Linked DNA regions of Neodiprion lecontei. The protein of the gene in region 2 interacts with the protein of the main gene of each other region in a pairwise test. Links are inferred from orthologs where the notes say so. Each region holds a gene or a part of one and is shown on either strand. Other genes may lie near its edges.

Region 1 (7,526 bases), on a different chromosome or scaffold from region 2:
TGACATCTTTGACAGCACCAGTTGATTCCAAAAGAACTTCTAGATAAAACATATCCGATGATATAAACAGTTGTGTACCAGAAGTCCCCAACATGAATTTAAGTCTGCAATAAAACATTCAAGATACGATGAGTATAAAATGTCTGAATAGCTGCACATTGGGTACATTTCGCACGGGTTAAACATATCTGAAGGTATGATATGAAAGATTTGGAGAACCACTTACCCTAACTGCCTTGTCAGACTTTCTAGTCGTTCTACCATGGACTGCAAAGACGTGACCTTTATGGAATGTTGCAAAGTATCGAGGCATTTTTGCAGTTGATTTTTTTCAACACTGTCAAGGGCGAATCGTTTATCCTATAAATATGTTAGACATATTTAAATTAATCTTTAGAGACTAAGGCTCCTTCTTAAACAGTTAATATCGAGCTCAATTAAACCTACCAGCATGGCCATCCGCAGATTCTTAGCAATTTCGACAAAGGATTTAAAAGAAGCAGCCTTTGAACGAAGCTTCTCCATCAGCAGCTCCATTTGCCATTCTTTTCCCTTGTCCACCGCCGGGCTGCCAACAGCCCCGGGGGCTGCTGGAAAATTCAATTTATTTTCAGCAAGATTTCCATTTGAATTAAAGAGGCGCGTGTGATAAAACCAGCACAATTGATAGACAATGACAATAATGATGCCGGCATAAATTTATACGACTGGTTGTGTAACAAGGGTCTATCTCATAGCAACGCATAACTGATAAATAAACGCGTCAGTGAAAATTATGCACAACTCTTGGCAGATAAACACAGCGTCAGCTGGGGTTTTTGCTAAACGAGCACGTTTTATGTTGGTTGAAAATGAGTGGATAGGATCACGCGAATTTGTTATTGTTTGAACGTGTGCGTGAAATAGCGTAGCAATCAGCGTAATCAACGAATTTTGTGTCCCCCACCAAAGCGCACGCATGTACTATCTCGGTCAGCATAGGATCAGCCGTCGATCGTAAAACATAGATATGATGGAAATACTTACGAAGGCCCTTCTGATTGTTCCCCGCATCCATGTATCCTTTTCCGGATAACACGGATGCCATAATACGCTTTAAACACCGTTTCTCTATCCACGCGAGGTCAACACATTTTACATTCCAACGGCAGCATCTTGCTCGTTTGCTGCTTCACTCCACTTAGCTCAGCAGACCTCGCTTTCCTAACCTTTGCGCCCCCTTAGCAGTACACCTTTGCGCATCGCGCGTCGATCTTTATCGAATCAGCTGATTGGTCGACATAGCCATCTGCGACAATCGACCCCTCGCGTGATCTTTAAGGGGGTCCCTTGGTCGATTTCGACGTGCATAAATATGTGTAAAGAAATGGCACAGGTGTTAAACTCGAGTAACAGAGAAACACTCAAATAAGTTTTCATTTGACGGAGAAATAAATAAATGGCACTGTAAATTCGTAAAATTCATATCCTTTTTTGCGTTTGAGACACGTGGACTTCAATATTTAGAGATACATGCATCAACGAAACCTTATCATCGAATAAATATTGTTGAAACTGGAAGATTACCGTCGGTAATTGTTGAAAGAGCTCCTGAACGTGCTTTCGGATATCTAACTATACATGATTTGGACAAAATCCAACTACCCGACTTCCCTTCTCCGTTGATCGGCAATCATAGCCATTCTACAACCATTTGCAGTCACTGCCACGGAGACTGTGCAAGGAGCACGAACTCCATGTATACAAATCGTTTCCCAAAATAAGAAGCAATTAATATACGATAAGTACCATAACGGTGAGCGAGGTAGATGAATCACATTGCAAGATCGTCGATTAGTCAATCTTGGGCATCTCTACAACTAATGACATTTCGGTGCTACAGGAACACTAGTGACGCTAGTGGTACAAAACATGAAGCTAACGTTTACGATTAGTGTGACAAGTTTGGTCAATTCACCCATTTGAGTTCATGCTCCTTGTACAATCTCCATAGTCACTGCAGTCACTGACGCTGTGGTTGCGACAAAACGCCATTATCTGTGTGATCGGAATTAGATGTAACGTTATTTGTGTCTTTTGACAAGTTATTGTGGATAGTTTACGACTAAATAATAACCTTTGAACATTGATACCGCAATGTACACCAGGAGCAGAAATAGTCAGGGAAATTACCCAAATGGTAAATCAATTTATGTTAATTCATTTTTACCGAATCTGAGCGGCATACTACAAAATGGATGACGCTAAATTTTCCTTTTTGAGTAAATGCCGGGGCTCGAGACGACGCTCATACTTCTCTATCGAATTAGTCACTCAAATACAAACTCGGAGTATAGAGCCGATTGTATAATAGTTACGACTTAAAACAGAACCGACAACAATAGCCTTTGATTTATTGTACATACCATCCAGTACCTATGTGGTTATTGATTTTTATTCGTTTGTAATTACTTGCTGCAAAGCAATCAATTATTCGAAAGAGAAAAGTAACCCTGAATAATGCTAGGAACTTTTCAAATTCCAGTAAGGGGACAGTCGGGAAACATAAATTCTGGACCAGGATACCAGAATTCAACGGTAATCATTTTTCCATACTGATAATCCAAACCAATGAAAATAATTTTTACTTCACTATTTGTAAATTTTATGTGATTAAAACGCTCATCAAATTGCGTGAAGTATCATTTGGACAAGTACGTTTTATAACTCATGGACCACAAATTGAACAATTGAATAGACAAAGTTTGTATTATATATGTACATACAATATTCTAAATTTTTTAACATCGCAGATCTTTTCTCTTGAAAATTCAATTATTATTGTTAGTATTCATCATCACTTAGTATTACATACACAGAGTTGTGCATTTCTCAAGTCTTCAACTAATTTCTAATAAAATAAACCATCAATCACATTATGATTTATTAGCAAAGATCTAAAATGCGTAAATGTCAAGGTATTTCGACCAATATTTATTATACCTTGAGAACATTAGTATAGATGTATGATAAATTATGCACTTTAAAGTATCGTAGATTCAATGCAATATTATTTATTATTTGACAATGTAAAGTTCAAAATTTCACGGTGTAGGCTTGTTTTTTTTCCTTATCTACTTCTCTTTTATTTGGTTTGTTTTAAGTTTGTACAGGAACACAGGTTGAAAGACTGATTGGACAAGCTGTAATTGAATACTTGGAATATTTGAAATCTTTTGCAAAAATCTTGGAAAGTATTTTTTTCTAGAATCATATTCCACTACCTGCAACTTCAGTATGGAATTACCTACGCGTTTGTTACCTACCCATGCTAATAATGAGGTTGTAGAATTTTCATAGAGTGAAGAAACAGATCTCATTTTAAAGCCAAAACTAAATTGGTAGTAAGAATTGCATAGATATACGTATACCTGTTATTCAATCTCTTTGGTATTGTAAATGCTTGCTATATCTACTTCTTTGCATCATAGTCATCAATTTTTAGCAATTTAATGCCACTCTTGGTGGCAAAAGACACTATTTCGAAACAGTTTGATGAGATCTTTGGACCTCAATTTAATCAATTTATAAACTGTGCTATTTATTCTTCAGCTTTTTTAATCATTTCTAACAGAAGTTTAGGAATTGAATTTTTCATTTTAGTTCTAAACTTTTTAGTACATGATTGAACTGAAATTTTTTCTGGCCACCATTGATCACGGTTCCAAATCAAATAGTTTTTTTTTTTTTCTTAATTCTCTGAAAGTTATCTTATTGCCAGCCCTGATTTAATTAAATATAAATAATCATCACTGCAAAACTTACGAAGTCGATTCAGGATGTTTGACGATCAAAGAAGTAGGCTAGTATTTTAATATTATCCCTGTGTTCCAGTTTCCAATTATGATAAAAGTGCAGAAGTCCGCCTTTATTTGCATGTACTAATTAGTGGTTCCCATCTTCCCCTCTCCTGCAAAGCAGGCCCTAGTAGCTATACAACAATACCGAGGAGGTGCGCCCCGCCAGGGGCAGGCTCGCCAGTTGCCCTCATAGCATAATGCATCCTGAGCCAGTTCCTTAATGATTCGTTCTAAACTCATGTTCTGAACACCTTGGCGATACACGATTTTCTTGCATCTGTTCTATTCCATTGGGTGATACTGCCGACAAGAGCTAAAATCATAAGCACAGAATGAGGACATGGTTTTACATTGTACTAGATTTGAGTTTACTGTCACATATTTTACAAACTACTTGTTTATCTGATATTATGAAATTCTTCATTCTTAGTTGGGCAAGAACAAATGTTATTTTTAATTGTGTAAAGATTGTCAGAGATGATTTATTTCATAAGAAGGTGCAAAAATTTGTGTATCTCTTGATGAATTAGATTGATGTTGTTTTCCAATAGCTGGTCATGGTTTAGTTATGAATTGAGAAACGTCTAGCACTGTTGAAAGGAATATCGGCAGGTGTAAGCTATAGGGGTAGCGTCAGATTGCGTTTGAATACGTGTGCGACGTCGGGCCCTGGTGGGGTAGCACAACCGCAGAGGTTCCTTGTGTAGTGGCGAGACCCACCCTATGATTTACAGTATTCGCAACAAGGGAATTTTCAACCGTCTCAAATGTCGGGACAGAATCAGCAGGGACCTTACAAGAATAATCCAGTGCAAAACTCGCCGCAGTTTAAAGCTGCAAATCCAGTACATCAACAACAACAACAGCAGCAACAACAGCAGCAGCAACAGTCGGCCAGAACAACGCAGGGCTCTCAGCCTCCAAAGGCACAGCCAATTACTCAGACACCACCTCAGCAGCAGCAGCAGCAGCAGCCTACCACTCCGCAAACTCCGCGTCTGAAGCCAATCCTCAAGCAACCGTCATCTACTCCACCAGCAGTTACTAGTGCTCCTGTTGCCGCTAGCAGTGTACCTGCTGCACCAACGCCAGTAGCTCAGCCAACAACGCCACCAACTGCTAATAATAATGAGACTAAGACTGAGGATACGAAAGAGAGTATGGATGTCGACAGTCCGGAACAACCGAAATGGAAACGTGGAAGGGTATCTGGCTGTGAGTATGAGATTGAATTTCTTTTTTCGTTCAGTTCACATTATACAATATCTAAATGCTGGATAAATCAGTTTTCTGTTACTGGTGTAAGAGTTATGAATTGACAATTAATGATGAAAATTCACTGCGCAAATTTGAAAGTTGTACAGTTAGCTGCATACTCCAAAGTTTTAGTTGTCGAGTTGTAGCAGTTGAACAACTCGTGTGAACATTAGGACTGATTGATTGTTATTTTACTGAGACTTTCATCGAATTTACACATAATTTGATATACTCACTTGAAACATGTTCATTAAGATAAGGTAAATAAGAAGCTGAAGCGGCTTAGGATGAATCAACGACTGAGGAAGGCTCTACAGCCTAAAAATGCGATCATGGTATTGAATGAGATGAAGACTGGAGTACAATTCACCTTTCCGGAGTCACAAGCAGCCATGCCGAACTCACTATTCGTTGTGCACGCCGAAGTAAGTTTGCATGTAGAAATCGGCATTTGTCACTGAAAGAAACATCCACTGATATATTATCCAGTTATCATCGGAATATTGGATGCCTGCACGCAAATAATCGCAATTCGTTTTGTTATCCAAAATTTAGTAATAAAATGACGAAATTATACTTACAGATTGACGGGAAGACTTACGTTGGCCAAGGATTGTCTAAGCCACTTGCGCGACAGAATGCTGCTGAGAATGCGTTGAAGTGTTTGCTCCTTGAGAAAATGACAACAGCCACAAGTAAAGCACGAATTGACGCTGAATCGGATGGGCAATCGATACAACCAGAATCAGCCCAACAGATTCCACCTATCAAAGAGGAAGGCAACGAAATGGCAATTTGCCCTCCGGAAACGGCTACTGAAGAACAAGATGAAGTGCCCTGGAGTTCTTTGGCTAGTTTTGCTCTCTACAAGCTGTTTTTGGAGTGGCAAAATCAGGGCACTGTAGTCCCAGTACCAAGACCAGGTGTTTCTACTGGGCGTGGTAAGAAGGAGCCAAAGGCTCCGGTTGAAAAAGATTTACCAATAAATGCGATCAACATTCATCCTGTCATGTTGCTCAATCAAATGAAGCCTGGGTTGACATATGTGGAAATTAATCGTACCGGAAACCCACCAAACACAATGTTTACTTTAGCTGTGGAAATCGATGGAAATGAGTATCCTGGTTCTGGTAAGAAATTTCGTAATTACTGATTTCCCGAGTATTTTGCTATTTTGATGCGATTTGTTTATTTTTGAGGGTGATAACAAATCTATTTCTTTTTACAGCCAAGAATAAAAAGGATGCCAAAAAAATGGCAGCTAAAACTGCCTTGTCCGCGCTTTACGGTTTAACATATCCCGAAGAAACAAAGATGGATCATACAGAAGACATGATGTGTTGAATTCTTTTACAAACATCTTGTTGGGGTGATTCGATTTTCCATTTTACACTTACTCTATTTTTCTTTCGCTTGATATTGACGTTTATGTAGATTGTAGAACAACTCTGTGTTTATTCAAGATCATAGATTGTTGAAATCGTGAGTAGTACAAAGGTATTTTTGTTAATTCCGAATCATCTGTTCAATTGATCAAATTTTATTCTGTTTATTTGCTATTATATTAGCAAATACTTTACTTTTATTTCGTAACCTTAAATTTTAATACAGAACAAAAGTATTGAAATTAGAAATGTATTTTATCGAGTAGGATAATATTACGTACAATGTATAATAATTAATAGCTTAAGGACACCTTATTCTTGCGACGTTCAAGTATAGAATATTATCATTGTGGTGAATCCTGCTTTTTCTTTTACTCACGTTGTTTCCGTTTGAAAACACTCATTTTTACCGCTCATTGACAAAAATAATGTATTAAAAAGTAATTCATTATACTATTAATTACTGTTGACTGTAAATCACATGTTAATGCCAAATACAACTTACCACAATCAGATGTTTCATAATTCGCTTACCTCTACATTCAATTTAGTAAGTCACTTTCAACTATTCAAGTAGTAATACTAAGTTGAGTTTAAATTTTTCTTTAAGCGGCAAACAATATATTATCCCGCATAAGACTCATCTCTTCCTGATCTGTGTGCTCTTGCAACTTGCTGATCAGAGTTCCCAAAAACGATTGAAAATCAACTTTCAATTTATTGGCACCTTCTTCAGTATTACAGCTTACTTGCGATATTCTAGACAACTTGGGCGCTGTAATAAAACAGCAAGTTATAATTAATACATAGTTCATGTGAGGAGAAAAATAAAATCACTATATCATTTCTTACACATCTTTTTAGGAATTTCGACACTGATATTATCTTGATCGTGATGAAAGATGACACAATTTGTTGGACCAAGCCCAGTTTGATTAACGAAATAATCGTACAATTGTTCTAGCTCACGAACATAGTCCTGTGATTTACCGTTGTGTACAAAAATCACACCATGACTTTTGTCTCTTACAGCTGGCCAACAGGT
Region 2 (4,627 bases):
GGATGGAAAGGGAAGGAAACAATTCGGCGGCGCGGTTGCGGGACGGAGAGGCGTATAGAGAGGAGTCGAAAAGTGAGATCAAGTCGGGCTCTCGATACGCGTGTATGCGTGAGTGTGCGTGAATGTGGGATGAACACAGGTAAGCCTCGTGTAGCGGTGATTATTCCCATACTGGAAAAGAGGGAGAGAGAGAGAGAGAGAGAAGGACCGGACTCTCGGCCATCCAGCAGCGTACGTGTGACTGAGATCAGAGTATAAACAGCTGACTCCCGGAATTCAGGTTCCGGAGGGGTGAGTGGCAAGAGAAAGGCAGTTGATCGGTTGAACCCCCAATTGGACGCTCCGCGCCCTCATCCCCTGCATTGTGTACAATAGGCGTATTACACGTACCTACGTACACACGATGACATTTGTATACGAGCCCACGGAGCACTTATCTCCCGTGTATACACAAGGACCGTGCTTATGCAGGCGGCAATTTTACACGCACTTGACTCCGTTTTGCCGCCGTCTTAAGGGCCCGTCAATCCGCGGAGGTTTGCGTTACAGGACATGCGGGAAAATTGATATCGGATATTAAACGGTCTCACGGGAGGAAACTTTTTCTTGCGGATGAATCAAGCCGGTAGTTGGCAGGCGTAGTAGGTCGACCAGAGACCCAGAATTCAGACTAATTTACGATCAATTTATCTCCGGCACTGAATAGACACCCACGTCTAGTCTAGACGCGCCGATTGTTTTTATTGAGATTCAAAGTGGAGAATCTCGGTCAAACAAAATCCGGCCGTCGCGCAAGTATCCTGGCTATAGCGATTTGTCACGACGCGATTAGGTACGCGAAAGACAGACACAACCGCGCGTACATTCGCATACACAAATTACCCGGTTCGTCGCCTGGCTACTTTGAATTCACCGAGCAGGCGTTTTTGGTCCCCTGGTCTCTCTCTCTCTCTCTCCCTCTCTCTCTCTCTCTTTCTCTGCCGGCGAGTCTAACCGAGCGTGAGTCCACGTGCTTCGAAAGCCCCGAAGTGTAGGTATTGTACCTATACGCGGCAAGCACGTGTGCGATCTCTCCGACTAAGAACGGTCGCTCTTCACCCTTGCAGCTACTACTAGGTGGATCGGGACCGGTCGGCGAAAGGTCGGGGATGCAAATTGCGCGTGACAAACTCACCTGCTATGGCCATCCAGGGGTAGAAGGTGTGATTCGCGGCGGGTTGCTGATGGAGCTGGGTGGCGACCGGTTGGCTGGCCGCCGAGTTGAGGCTGCAGGTGTTCCAGGAGGAGGCTAACGATCTCGAGGAGCCGTTGTTGCCCGGACTCGAGGCAGGATCGCCTCCCACGAGGCTGCCGTAGCTTCCGACCCTCGTGCCCTCGGGTGTGCACGCGGAGGGCCTGACGACCGGGTTGCTCTGTCCGTTCGCCGCTGAGGTTGCCGACTGCCAAACGTCCTTGACGGCCGCCGCGGCCATCACGGCCGCATATCCGTTCTGGTGGGCCGACTGGTCCTGCTGTTTGCAGTCCTTCGCCGTCGAGGACGAGTAGGACGAGGTTGTGTGCTCCGGGGTCGACGAGTATATCTTGCAGGCCGTCGCGACGCTCGCGTCGTACGGCGAGTCCTGGGGTGGCCTGGTGTTCGTTCCGCCGCCGGGGTGGATGCCCAGGGAGGAGGACGTGTGATGATGGTGCTGGGTCGAGGCGTACGGCGACATCCCAAGGCCGAGCGGAAAGGTGCTGCGATAGGCAGCGGCTGCCGTTGCGGGGTCGTGGTGCTGGGCCCCGGCCCCGGTCTGGTGATGGTGGCTACCGTAGAAGCCACCGGCGGTCTGCTCGAAGTACGAGTTCATTATTCCTAGTATTTTGAATCACTTGCACTGGACACCCTCACTGGAAATATTAAACCCTCCCTCCGCCAAGGCGAGAAAACGCCAGGGGACTTTGGTCCCGGCTAGAGGAATAGTCTGTACGGTCAGCTGTTCTCCACTCCTGAGTATAAGCTGGTACAACGGATCGCGACGGAATCGCGAGGCTCGACGGCTCTCTACGGAACCGCGATCGAACGAGGACAGGTGAACCAGATGAGCAAGGTGCGAAGGTGGCGGGGATTCCGTGAGGCAAGTAAGGACCGTTCAAGTGGCCGTAAAATTCACCGAGCGGTAGGGTCACGACCGAGATTTCGAGAGAGTCTCGGTGGCGTTTCGGCGGGCGCCCTCCGGTACTCAACGGGCCACTACGAGTGCCGATCAGGAATGGACACCATGACGCGTTTCTGGCGATTAGACGAGCGATCGGTGAACGGACGGCCGCGGTACCACGTTGCCGGCTGAGCCAGCACCCTGGTGCTGCGGTGGTTTGGAGGCAGAGGAGAGTCGCTCGACGCGGAGAGTGACGACCGTTAAATCGTAACGACGCAATAAAACCCGGCAATAAGACGGGCTATAAAAGTTGCCTCCTCGTCTTTGACTCTCTGGTAACCGCGACGCGGTGCGCCTGGCACGCGACCTTCGTCAAACGCCAGATTTCCCTCTCTTTCTCTATCTTTCCCTCTTTCTCTTCCTTCTTCTCTCTCCCTATCTATCTCTCCTTTTCCTCTACTTCTATATCACCCCCGCGATTACAATACACCCGATTCGTTTGACATTTCGGTCTGAAAGGTATTATAATATACAACAGGAAGTCCGCTGTCTATTATCGCATATAAAAACGGTGCTCGACTCAAGCACGCGGCAGGAGCGCAGGTGGCGCCCGTAGTTCCCCGTCTCTACTCGTTAATGTATACCGAACCCGTTGGTACCACCAGGCTGGGGTGTAAACCGCGTGAAACGAGATAAGGCCGCGCGACTCGGCGGTCGGAACTGCACTAGCACTCGGTCGAACGTGGTGGTGGATCGTTTACGCGGACTCGAGCGCGACTGGCGCGGCGCGCTCGTCCCTCCTTGTCGTGCCGCGTCGTTCCGTCCCGTTCTGTCCCCTGCGTGAGAGTCGGAGGCGGTGGAGGCGGCGGGCGGGCAGCGGCGGCAGCGGCGGCGGCGGCAGCGGCAGCGGCGTGTGCGGTGTACGCGAAATGCGGCAGCCTGGGAAGGGGATCGTAACTTGGCCACGGTATGCCGGTGCGGTGGTCCACGGCACACTGCTTTTCTCGCGCCCGGCGTACCGCCGCGCCACTCGGTACGTCCGCTCTTTCTCTCTCTCTCTCTCTCACTTTTTCTCTCTCTCTCTCGCTCCTCCACAGCCCCCGGGACCCTCCCGTGGAAGAGGAAGGCGACCGTCCCGTCTCGCTCGCACGCGTGCCGCGCCCCCCTCCGCGTGGCCGGGCCGTCCCTCGACGCTGGATCTATCTCCCCCTCGGAAAGCTCGGGGCTGCTTACAGCGCCCCCTGTTGGCTACTCGAGAAACTCGGCGACGTGCCGCCGGATTAAAATCGAGAACGCCGCTCCGCGGATACGCCGCTGGGTGCCAGACGAGGACCGAGAACGAACGGCGAGAGAGAGGGACGAGTCGCCAAGGAACCGATGGGGTCGCAGGTAGGGGAAGAGCGCTGCTTAAGGACCAATCGGAATTGAATTCGTCACGAGCGCCGCGCCGCCACGCTGCGAGCTTACTACGCCCGGGGAAAGTAGTTCCCCGGGTGAACGACGCCAATAGGCCAGCCAGGACCGCCCCTCTCCCACCCTCGAGCTTTCACCCTGGAGGGAGATACCTCACACGCGGAGTGTCACGCGTGGAGGACCGCTCACCGTCGGCGCCACCTCTGAGGAGAGCCGCGAACCAACATCCACATACTCATCCCGGCCCTCAAACGACCAACATCAACGACGTTCAATTGCAAATTCTATTATTACGATCGACGCTCGCACTTGTTCCTTTATTCGCATTTCGTTTTGCGTACTATCTCTCTTATTGCCGACGCTTTTGCCGCGACGACAAGGCGAGCCGTGAATGAACGGAATTCGGCGCCGTTTCTCTCAGTTCCGGCAAACTGATCGGAGCAAGCGGTTCAAAAATGCGGAGCGCGCAAATTGTTACGAAAAAAAAAAAGGAAATTCGGCACGATAACGAAGTCGAGTAAATACGTGAAACGAGAGAAGGTGGTAAAGACACGCAGGAAATAAAATGCAATGAACACCGCGGTGTAGCTGGCGCGAATGAAACAGTTGAATGAAAATAATCGCGGAGATAACCGGTCTCGTGCCTCGAAACGCGGCAGGCAAACGTATGGTAATAATAATATCGTTAAAGCTTTTACGAGCACTTTATGCTTTACGGGCCAATTAGACAACCGTACAATTAAAATGTCGTAAAAATGAGTTCTTCTTGGTTCCGTATTACATACATTAAATTCACGGCACACGGTTACAACGGCGTTGCGATATAATATACTTTATACGCACAAATATCGCGTCTATTACATCGCGTATAATATCCGTATCACACATATTACACCGAAGTGCGCGGCTTCTCCGATTGATGTGTGAAAACGTAGGTGTGCGCAACACGCGCGTTAAACCAGCGCACACATCCGTATCTTGGACGTTGGTATCGGGTCGAGTGTTTATTGGGATGTAAATGTCGTTGGATTATCGCCCCCGCGGTTCGCACCTCGTAAATTATTCCATAACGATCCGAG
Region 3 (5,369 bases), on a different chromosome or scaffold from region 2:
ACACTTGTTTGGTGGCAGTCAGTAACAATGCATATCGTATTGAAAAAAAAGTGAAAAAAATATGTGACAGCTATATTTACACTACATTTATACACCCATGATACTCAAATACCAAAGGAATGATTGAATTATTTAAATACATTTTTAATCCAAATACGGGGTCAGTCGATGTGATTTTAGTTTTTTCAGTACAATGCCATAACTTCTTTGATCGGAAGAATATGCCATTGATCCTTGTAAACATTATTTGAGTGAAGGGACACTTTGTTTTACACGAAGCATACAGCGCTTGGATAAAAATATCAAACCGGAAGAGCAGCTCGCGGTGAGTTATGTCCCTCAATCTCTACTCAATTTATTTAAATTATTTTTTATTGGTCGTAAATACGGATTTTTTTAAATTAAGAACTGCGTAAATTGTCGCTTTGAATAAATATGCTCTCAGGACTATACAAACCCATGGATATATTATATTTGGATCACTTAATATCCAATAAAGCCAAGGACCTTCTTTTCTCAGTGTACAACCCCTGAAAAAGTTTCAAAAAAAATTAACAAATTTTCTTAATTACTCGTCTTTACCCTATGATTTTTTTATTCAAATCACAGAAAAACATAAGCTGTGACGAATACAACACCGATTAACCGATAATAGATCCAACATTTAGCGCAGAAATGACGTAAAAGAAATCTATATGAACAACTGAAAATTCAATCGATAATAAAATAAACATTTTTCGTCACTTACTCCCGCAAATTGTACTGTCTTTAAAAAGCGTCTTGTAAAATAGGCGCAGTGATTAAGTTTATCAGTCAAATAGATCGGCAGGGTTAATTTCTAGCGGAAAAAATAATTCGAAAGCTTTGCTCCAACCGAAATGGGAATCGAACACTGCAACGTGTAGCCGCAGGACTCGTCGTTTCTGCGTACACGCTGCACGTCGAGTACCTGGTCAATAATATAAATCAATACGAAAAAGAGTGAAACGCTTACAATTATATTCTGCATGCTTCGCGTTTGTACCTGGGTAGGTACGTTATACTCTCTGAATTAGAATGAGTTAATTTTCACTGATATTTCAACGATTTCCAATGTGTGGTATGAACCGATTTTCTCCAGCAGTATACTTGTGATTAATTCACATTTCGAGAGTAGACGATACCTACTGGCGTGCCACGACTTTAATCGGCGAACGAAACATCAACTGTGACTGCGATACGGACGAATTTTTTACCAAAGTCAAATCTTATAAAGCCGAATTTTGAAAAACATCGGGAATCTGTTAACCATTAGGTATCGCTTACGATCTCGTTAGTGATCTTTCTCGAGTGGTATTATATCCAGACCAAAGTAATTCCTGCGAACCTTTCGTAAGCCTGACAATAAACTGCACGTGTACGTACATGCGTGTACGTCGTTGAACAAATATACGTACACGCAAGTCGCGCACGATAAAAGGAGACGAACGAAGGGTGTGTAAAGCCGAGGGTGGGAAAACGCTGTCGCGATTCAACAACGTCGAAAGGCTGATGATCTGTTTGTCTTCCTTGGACGCGTCTGCGCGCCTCGAGGTTGACGCTCAAAGGCCTGACACCCCCTCCCCCTGCAGGACCGAAGCGCTGGGCGCAGGACAGAAACGAATGAAGGGTCTGTAGGATCCCCACCACTGGCTGGCTGCTTTCCTCTCTTCTGTTTGCATTGTTTGATGTCAAACATTGGGCACAAACAAGCGAGGACGAAGAGGGCGTCGACTCGGAGTCCGTCGGCCTGGAGGATCCCTCAGTTGGTGCGGTTCGGCGCCTGGGCGGGCTCGAAACCCTAGGAGGCGGTCCAATCCAACGGTATATAACTCCCCACCATTCCCGGGGCGTCTGTAGAGTCGGGTTGACGCTTCTACCGTTGGCTCGTCGTCGGCAGTCTTCGTCCAACGTGCATGAGGTGAAAACGTCAAGAGTCGGATAGATTGCACCATACATATATATACATATATATGTATATATACGTACGTACGTATATAACGAGTTTGAAGGAAAAGTGAGAAGAACAGGAATCGGACACTGGTTGCACGGTACGTGATCCGGTCTCCGTGGATGTGGTTTTATTTGTCGTTGCGTTTTTGGAATGTCGCAGAGTGATAAATCGCCTACTGTTTCGTGTGATTCGATGAATGGGACGATATAACGATTCGGTTTGCTCCGAACAGTGTACCGGCTGCAGTGTTTTATGAACGGAAAATATAGGACCTATACGCGTATATAATACCGGACCGACGAAGTCACGTGTACCGGAAGGTGTGCGAGTGTCGATGCGGACTGTTTGAATCGGGCCCGGAGACCCTGCACGCCTTCAGTTGATAAAGTGCGCCGGAGGGACGAAGCACGAGGTTGAGGAGATGGTGAACATGGAAGGATCCGGGGAGCACACGGTGACCGTGTCGCTGCCGCCCCCCAGGGCCACCCTGAAATCTAACTTCAGTATACGCAGCATCCTCCCGGAGGCCTGTGCCGTGACCCCGGCGCCGCAGAGCCTCACGCCGACGAGCCAGTCCTCGAGCCCGGTGCAGGATGCTACCGCGGAGGACACGGACGAGGGTAGCGACCTGGACGTGACAGGGTACGACGACGGCGCCGACACGCCGCCGTTGGACTGTTCGAGAGGCAACGCGGGGGGTAGTCCGGGGAACGGTCCTGGGGCGAGGAAGGAGCAGGAGGCGCGAGAGGCGGAGGAGAAGAAGAAGTCGGAGAAGCCGCCGTACAGCTACAACGCTCTCATCATGATGGCGATACGGCAGAGTCCGGAGAAGCGGCTTACCCTGAACGGTATATACGAGTACATCATGCGGCACTTCCCCTACTACCGCGACAACAAGCAAGGCTGGCAGAACTCGATAAGGCACAACCTTTCCCTGAACAAGTGCTTCGTCAAGGTGCCGCGGCACTACGACGACCCCGGCAAAGGTAACTACTGGATGCTGGACCCGAGCAGCGAAGACGTATTCATAGGCGGGACGACCGGGAAACTCAGGCGACGAACGACCGCCGCGTCTCGTTCCAGACTCGCCGCCTTCAAGCGAAGCGTCGTCCTCGGGGGCCTTAACGGCCTCACCGGACTCAACGGCCTCTACCCTGCCCTCAACCACTCGCCCTACGTCGCCCCCGCCTGGCCTCCGTCGCTCTACGCGCTGCCCTACCTCCACCGGGCCGGGCCCTACTCCGTGCCATCTGGATACCCTGCGAGCCTTTTGCCGGGGGCGGCCGCCTCCGCGAATCTACCGTGCAAGCCGCAGCCTCTTCCAGCGGCCGCCGCGCCCCCGGCTCACGGCGCCTTCTCCATGGAACGGCTGCTCCAGGCCCCGACGTCGGCTTACCACCCCGCGAGTATGCCGCCGGCTAGCGTCGCGACGTCCGCCGCCGCCGCGGCCGCCGCCGCCGGAGCTTACAACGACTTTTACTCGACGCTGAGGAGCCTCGCTGCTCATCAACAGCACCAGCAGCAACAGGCCGTTCTCCAGCAGCAGCAGCAGCAGCAGCAGCATCAGCAACAGCAACAGCAGCATCAGCAGCATCAGCAACAGCAACGCCGGTACCAGCAGCAGCAGCGGCATCATCTCCCTCAGCAAACGTCGACCCCTCTCAGCCAGACGCCTTCCACCACCGGCTCCCCTGACAGCAGCCCGGAACCTCATCCCCCGCACTCGCCCCCCTTGTTGCACCAACGCTAGCAGGCCCTGCGTCCTGGCATGCCATTCTTCCGATTCTTTGAAGCTACCGAGTGAGCCGATAACAGCTCTGACGGCGGGGCAGTGCTGAAATCGGTAATTTGGCTTCATGATTTTTTCGTTGGTGTTACGTACTGTAAAGGGGGGCGAGTTGCAATGCTTTGCGATATAACGACCGGTGATGTCGGTTGAAAGGGTCAGAAGGGGGCCGAAACCGTTTGCGGTATTAGCTGAAATCGCGATAACGGATGCGCTGACTTCAATAGAGTATTAATTCACGCGTAATTTGTGTAAATATATTACTTAGAACGTTGCACGTATAAAAAAGTTATATTACCTCGTTGTATATTTAAAAGTAAAATACTCGGTGATCTCCGGTTTAAATGTTATTATACATGTAAATATGGACAGAGAGAGATCTTGTAGATAGTCAAAAATCAACTTAATCTATTATTACTATTGTATCGACAATATTGTATACATATATGCCTGCGTATACGATGTGCATACACGTATCGTATACGCAAGACGAATGCAATGGGTATACATATATGTCTGTACAGATTCTTATAGACATGAATAATTATACCCCATATACAGCTTAGATTGGACCGCAGTACATACCTACTGAAAAATTGAATAAATATAATTTATACGTAGAACAAAGAAATGTTATAATACACGTTTATTATATACATGGCACACATTATATATATATGTATAATTGTATACTGACGTACAATGTCGCTTGAATCGCTAGGCTATAGGCGCCTCAATCTTCGTTATGCACGGTGCAGCTCTTTATACTGGCGTACTTATTAAACACACCATAGCAATTCTAACGCTGCGCGTTATACACGCGACGATATGATTCTCGGTATACGATAGGTCGTAGTAACACAGAGTCGAATCTCTAATTACTATACATTCGTAGTATACCTGTATACCTGTATACATGTATCGCTGATATATATATATATACACCTTGTTTGTACAAAACAGATTAATAATTTCGTTATAAATATGTACATATATGCAGTGATATTATATATTGAAGAATATAAGGACACAATGAGGATGCAGGAGTGAAGTACAGAGAAACTATGATTACGAAATAAACTTCGAAATCTTTTAATATAACCGTTGTAAATTTCGTCAACTTATTTTTCAAACACCTAAACCCTCCGCTCCGTTAATTATGACCATGTAAGCCGAGCGGTACCGTTAATCATAAGCCTATAAATAGACCGATTCATGATTATAGTCAACCATAAATGAAATTCTTGAAAATCGATTTATACAGCTCGATAGCTGATTTCCAACCCATTCGTTTAATTTAACACGTGTACAAGTGTAAGGGACTGGATTTTTTCGCCAAGTTAACCTCGGAATCAGATACAGCTAATTGATACAAAGAGTAAAGTAGGTACGTGGGAGGTAGATATCACCACACTTCAAATTGCGTCGAGGAAAAGTTATGCGGGTTTCCCTAATAAAATTAACAAGCAGAACCCGCTGGCTGTCAAAACAAAATACTTCATAGGCGTTGGAATTTGGGACGTAAGTTTCAATGCTAATGGTTCCGGGCATTGCTGTTGTATACCTGGAAAAACTGTCCGCGAAAATAAAAACGCTGCCAGTGCGGCCTTG
Region 4 (4,883 bases), on a different chromosome or scaffold from region 2:
TCGTATCTACCGCGTCTCTCGGCTTGTCAAAGAAAATTATGAAGAAATTTGCTCGCTCGTTTCGGGACGGGGAAATTTATTCCGGCTACTCACCGTTCGCTCAGGGTGCAGGCGGGTGACCTGATGACCCAAATAACCCGGAAGGCGACCTGGTCACACACGAATTTCCACGAAGCGAACCTGTTTCAAACGACCAGGTCGCTTATTTAGCCCGACAAGTGTAATAGCCCACTTTTCAGGTACGTCAACTGAGAGTTTAAGTAGGTCAGAACGGCTCGCGGTTAGCTCGAAAAATTCGTACCGGTACGAGTCAAAGGGGTGGCAGCAGCTGGAAAATGAGAATAAAAAACGGGCCAAAAACAGGAGCAGGGATCGGTCGCGGGTGGAAGAAGAGAGGAAAAATAAGCGGGAAAAATGGTCGCGCCGGCCGGAAAAACGGAACGGCAACCCCGGGTTAGGCGGCTCTGCTGACGCGGCAGATGGGGGATTTTGAACGAGGGTGATTTCCTCGGATACCACGCGTCATTGATTCCGATACAAATCGCGTATAAAGTTTAAGACGACGCGTGCAGGCCAAAGCGCCTTTCAACGGTCACCGTAAACTTTTTCCTCACACAGAGATCAAAGCGTTATATCGTCCCATTTCGTTTAAAGGGTTCCTCGGATTCCTCTTGCAGAACGAAGAAAAAGGGCCCCGCTGATTGCGCTGATATGTTGGCGAGGAGATCGGCGGATATCCTCTCCGCCATTTTTCACCTCCAAGTATCCTGGCTGTCGTCGGCTAACTGCCTGGTCGGTGAAGTGATTCTGGCGAACGGATTCAACGAGAACCAGAATCAGGGGATGTTTTCACGCTTCCATGTCGGTCAGGATGACTGAAAATTCACGAATTATTCACGCGTGCAGGGCTTACGGATGTGGATAATTGATCCGTCATTTTCACTGAGTACGATTGGAACGCGAAGACTCGGTTTTGCAGACTTCAACTGTCTCGATGAATTCGGTCCGCTTGATTCTTGGTCGTAACTTTGTCGCATCTCAGATATGCTTCAACCCTGTACTGGGAAGCCGAGTAAATTGGTTAGTCGATGATTTCTCAACCATCCGGAGGACAGCCGAGTGTCCGGAATACCTCGAGGATTCAGCGGTCGTGTCTACCGGCTCTGCAAACTGCTGCAGCTCCGTTCGGTTGAAACTGCAACGATGATAATCGATGAGTGCGGAGTGACATGGCGGAGTAACTAAGGTATGGAAATAGCACGTTTCCTGGTCGGCAGAATAAATCGGGGCACTCCTTTACCTGCGTCAATTCCCGGGTCATGCTGGACGTGGACAAGCGTGCGGAATACCGCTGAAGCGTTGGAAGAATTTGCATTCTATGCGATTAGTGGTCGCGAAAAGCGGACGAGGAAAAACGTGACGGAATGACGATTCCGATTCTCGATTGGAACGGGCCGCGCTTATACACCCTTGACGAATATCGCCGCGTGCTTTGACGAGGATAAAAACGTCGTCGAGGTTACGGATTTCGGTAATACGGGACCGTGCCCGCGACTTAGCAACGTGGCTGCTAATTAATGCCGAAAACCACACCTTCGCTGGCAATTCTGCCAAACTCATGCATCTATGACAGCGATGGGCGGGGCAGGACGGTCTAAACAAATTTTCCCGATCCCCGATTGGCCGGGACACTTAAAAATAGTCGGTTGGGGTGTGGTGACTCGGATACGGCCAGGCGTAGCACACATCAAACGGCATAAATATCTACACACTGGCTTGTCGCCCGCCGCGACACACATTCAAACTACACGGAGAAAACCCATGTGGCTTGCGGAGACACTGCCTGTAGAGGATGCCTGCGAGCTCCTCACTCCGATGCTCGACCTCGAGGATTTCAGATCTTGAGTACCCTTCGGAGCCCGAAGTCGGTCCGTTGTCATCGCAGGCCGCGGCTGAAGAATCGCGACCGTACCGCAAGTTCCATATTTCCGTCAAACGCTCCTACCGATCGTTTTTTCTTGTCGCGGATGATCCAACGCGGATGGATCATGCGCCGCGAAGCGGTTTCGCGTTCGGAGTGACCAGCGGTCGGTTTATCGGGGACTTTTACGGTGATGAATGTGAAAATACAGATCAGTGTAGCGAGGAACGGTTGAACCGATGCTTTCGAATCCCACGATTCTTTGAGAAGCCCAAACAAAGTTCACCGTGAGTGTCTGGAGCGTAATCGTGCGTGTGTGTTGACAAGTGTTTTCTGGCAAGCGCGTATTCATCGGTCGGAATAACGTGCCCGTAGTCCAATAAACTTGGAAAATGTTCGAGTGACGGGAATCGGGGGAACTTTTTGGAAGCGGGGAAGAAAGACGGAAAGTCACGCGGCTCAAGCAGGTCCGAATTTTACCGTCCCCGAGATGATGACCTTGATGACAGACGTCGGTCAGTATCCCTACGAGGCGGGGAGCAGGTCCTCGTACGAAAGTTATCACCATCATCGACATCATCATCACTTCTACGCGACAACTTCCGACGCCGATTACCTCCAACGATACTCCAACGATCGGGACGATCATCCGAGGGCCACAAGCGCCGATGGGAGCTTGGCTTCGGCTGAAAGCAACGGCTCTGGACGCTGCTATCATCGAGATCCTCTACGGTACTCGTTCATGCACGTAATACGCACCTACATGTCCGCCTTCGATTTGTAAAAGAAAAAAAAATTGGTCTTCTTACAACGCTCTTCGCCCCCATTTGCTGTACGATGATTTTATTTGATCATTGATTTGGCGGTTGCATCGTGTCGTTAAATTTTACACTCTCGCATTAACGTTCGGAGTGATCCGTCGAGGCGATCAATGGTCCAAGCGAACGGTTCAAAAGCCGATACTTTCACGTGCAGATGAAAATCAAAATGCGAGCATAATTCTACCAGCCTTTAATAACCACGTTTGGTCTGAACTCGCTTATCGCATTCGGCCTTTAATACAAACGTCGATCCGGTACATCAGCAACAGTCGATAAACGTCACGTTTTCAACTAGAATTGAATGATTGAGCGTTCCTCTCAAAACTTTTAATGACATCCCTCGGACCCGAAAGCACAATTGAATAAATTTATTCGTATCATTTTCCGACTTGTAACAATGAAATATGTTGAAAGTTTACCCGCACTCGAAGTAACCTCGTATTTCCGTAGAGAAAAAGATAAATAAAAGATAATAAAAAAGGGGGTCAGGCCGGTTCGGAATTGGCGAAGTTCCGCGCCTATTCAGACCTCTGAGAACGCGCGGCTGCGGCAACCGCATGATGCACGGTATCGCATGCGTATAACACAAGGCGCGTGCTTCCAGGCGTAACTATCGACAACTATTGAATAACTAGGCTGCTTCGCAGCGAGCCTCCTCGACCACGTCGTGTCCCCATATCTACATATATATACATATTCTACGTGCATAGCGCACACACAAGCAGGAAACACGAGCAACCGCCAACCCAGCCTAGCAAGTTATACACACGCCTAGAAAATTGCGTAGTCTGAAAATATTCCGACAAGTATACAAATCTCGATGGGAGATAATTGATGAAAAAAAAAAAAAAAACCGAAGAAATTAGTCGTTAGGACGCATTTTAATTCCCCAGGCGACATACAATTTTTTTTTAAAGCAAAAACTTCGAGGATATTGACCGTCGATCAGTGCTGTTATACCGATCTAATTAACCAATTATTCTGTTTTTCACTTTTAATGTATTTTTCTTTTTCGGTTGAGAAAATTTATCGAATCAGTAATGAAGTCTGTGTGAAACGAGGTAAAATTAATTCTCCGCAAGGGTAACACGGCGAAAATATCAGCGATTTGTTTTTTTTTTTTTTCTTCATTCTTGGCACAATTTTTACCGGAGATGAAGTACTCGTACTTCGTTATTAGATGTGAAAGAAAATTAAACAAGCCACTGTACGCAGCCTTTTTACCGTTTCGTATACGGGTGTGCAAATTTTCCGGTTCAAATCCATATTAGGAGAGAGAGAATAATGCTGGGTATGAGAAAATGTTATAATTTACTCGTTAGAACCGCGCAGTTTAATATCGGAGGGCGTCTCGTTATCTCTCGGATTCCAATCTAACCAAGGATCTTCCTCTTCTGCCGGAGCAAGTTTCCTCAAATTTATATTTGTACGTTATTATTCCAGCCCCGCTTTTGTAATATTCCGGTTACCATTACCTCGGTGAAAAATTATAGTCGAGTAATTTTTAGGATCGATTGATCAGGGATCAAATAATACAAGCGAATCACCCCATCAAATTACGTTTGAGTATACGGAAAATTAACTTTACGAGTTTGAATGAAATCATACGCGATTCTCCTGTGTTTGACAATCGGCCAATTTGCTATACAATCCGAAAACATTATTTCTGAAATTACGTAACGCGTTTTCAAAGGGTTCCAAAATACAGGAGGGTTTCCGAGTGACGTACCGTGCGAAAACAAAAACTCTTTAAAATTGATAATTAAACTGTACTGATTGTTATAGAAAAGTTTCAACATCCACGTTCCGGCAGTCACGGGAAATTTTCTGTACAAACTCGACTAAATTGACCAGAATAACAATGGAGATTATTCAACAACTTACCACCTTCATTTACCGATACCAGATGTACGTCATTATTTAGTTAAAGCATAAACGGGTGTCAAGTTGAAACCGCAGTATCTGTGTACCTACAAATAAGTGCAAGCATTTGATGGAGGGAAAAATATTCCGCAAGCCTAATCGTATAATGAGAAATGCGCTAATTCGCTGCTTTTTATAAACAAGCCCTTCTCTTGCAGAGTGCATTAATTACGAGGGTAAAAAAGTGTAAGCCAATATGTTATATCGATCGACAAATA

The links.
Region 1: the proteins of homeotic protein ultrabithorax-like (region 2) and mediator of RNA polymerase II transcription subunit 15 interact in a two-hybrid assay, tested with the Drosophila melanogaster proteins (2 studies listed by BioGRID). The link is inferred for Neodiprion lecontei from reciprocal best matches to the Drosophila melanogaster genes Ubx and DIP1.
Region 3: the proteins of homeotic protein ultrabithorax-like (region 2) and fork head domain transcription factor slp2 interact in a protein complementation assay, tested with the Drosophila melanogaster proteins (2 studies listed by BioGRID). The link is inferred for Neodiprion lecontei from reciprocal best matches to the Drosophila melanogaster genes Ubx and slp2.
Region 4: the proteins of homeotic protein ultrabithorax-like (region 2) and transcription factor SUM-1 interact in a protein complementation assay, tested with the Drosophila melanogaster proteins (2 studies listed by BioGRID). The link is inferred for Neodiprion lecontei from reciprocal best matches to the Drosophila melanogaster genes Ubx and nau.

Annotation. Positions count from the first base shown.
Region 1 is NC_060263.1:3,104,680-3,112,205, forward strand, and holds mediator of RNA polymerase II transcription subunit 15, read left to right. Parts: upstream 1-1,980; 5' UTR 1,981-2,136; coding exon 2,137-2,179; intron 2,180-2,524; coding exon 2,525-2,577; intron 2,578-3,960; exon of another isoform or gene 3,961-4,573; coding exon 4,574-5,054; intron 5,055-5,351; coding exon 5,352-5,521; intron 5,522-5,679; coding exon 5,680-6,226; intron 6,227-6,324; coding exon 6,325-6,440; 3' UTR 6,441-6,994; downstream 6,995-7,526. Other genes in the region: mediator of RNA polymerase II transcription subunit 1, read right to left, coding at 1-104, 227-360, 448-590, 1,027-1,087; intraflagellar transport protein 22 homolog, read right to left, coding at 7,087-7,256, 7,334-7,526.
Region 2 is NC_060260.1:3,090,617-3,095,243, reverse strand, and holds the start of homeotic protein ultrabithorax-like, read right to left. Parts: upstream 3,036-4,627; 5' UTR 1,848-3,035; coding exon 1,175-1,847; intron 1-1,174. UniProt on the Drosophila melanogaster protein: Sequence-specific transcription factor which is part of a developmental regulatory system that provides cells with specific positional identities on the anterior-posterior axis. Binds the consensus region 5'-TTAAT[GT][GA]-3'.
Region 3 is NC_060262.1:42,363,549-42,368,917, reverse strand, and holds fork head domain transcription factor slp2, read left to right. Parts: upstream 1-1,890; 5' UTR 1,891-2,393; coding exon 2,394-3,722; 3' UTR 3,723-4,859; downstream 4,860-5,369. UniProt on the Drosophila melanogaster protein: Transcription factor involved in segmentation. May function primarily as a segment polarity gene. Different levels of slp activity seem to be required in different segments.
Region 4 is NC_060263.1:35,020,988-35,025,870, reverse strand, and holds the start of transcription factor SUM-1, read left to right. Parts: upstream 1-1,850; 5' UTR 1,851-2,411; coding exon 2,412-2,653; intron 2,654-4,883. UniProt on the Drosophila melanogaster protein: May play an important role in the early development of muscle.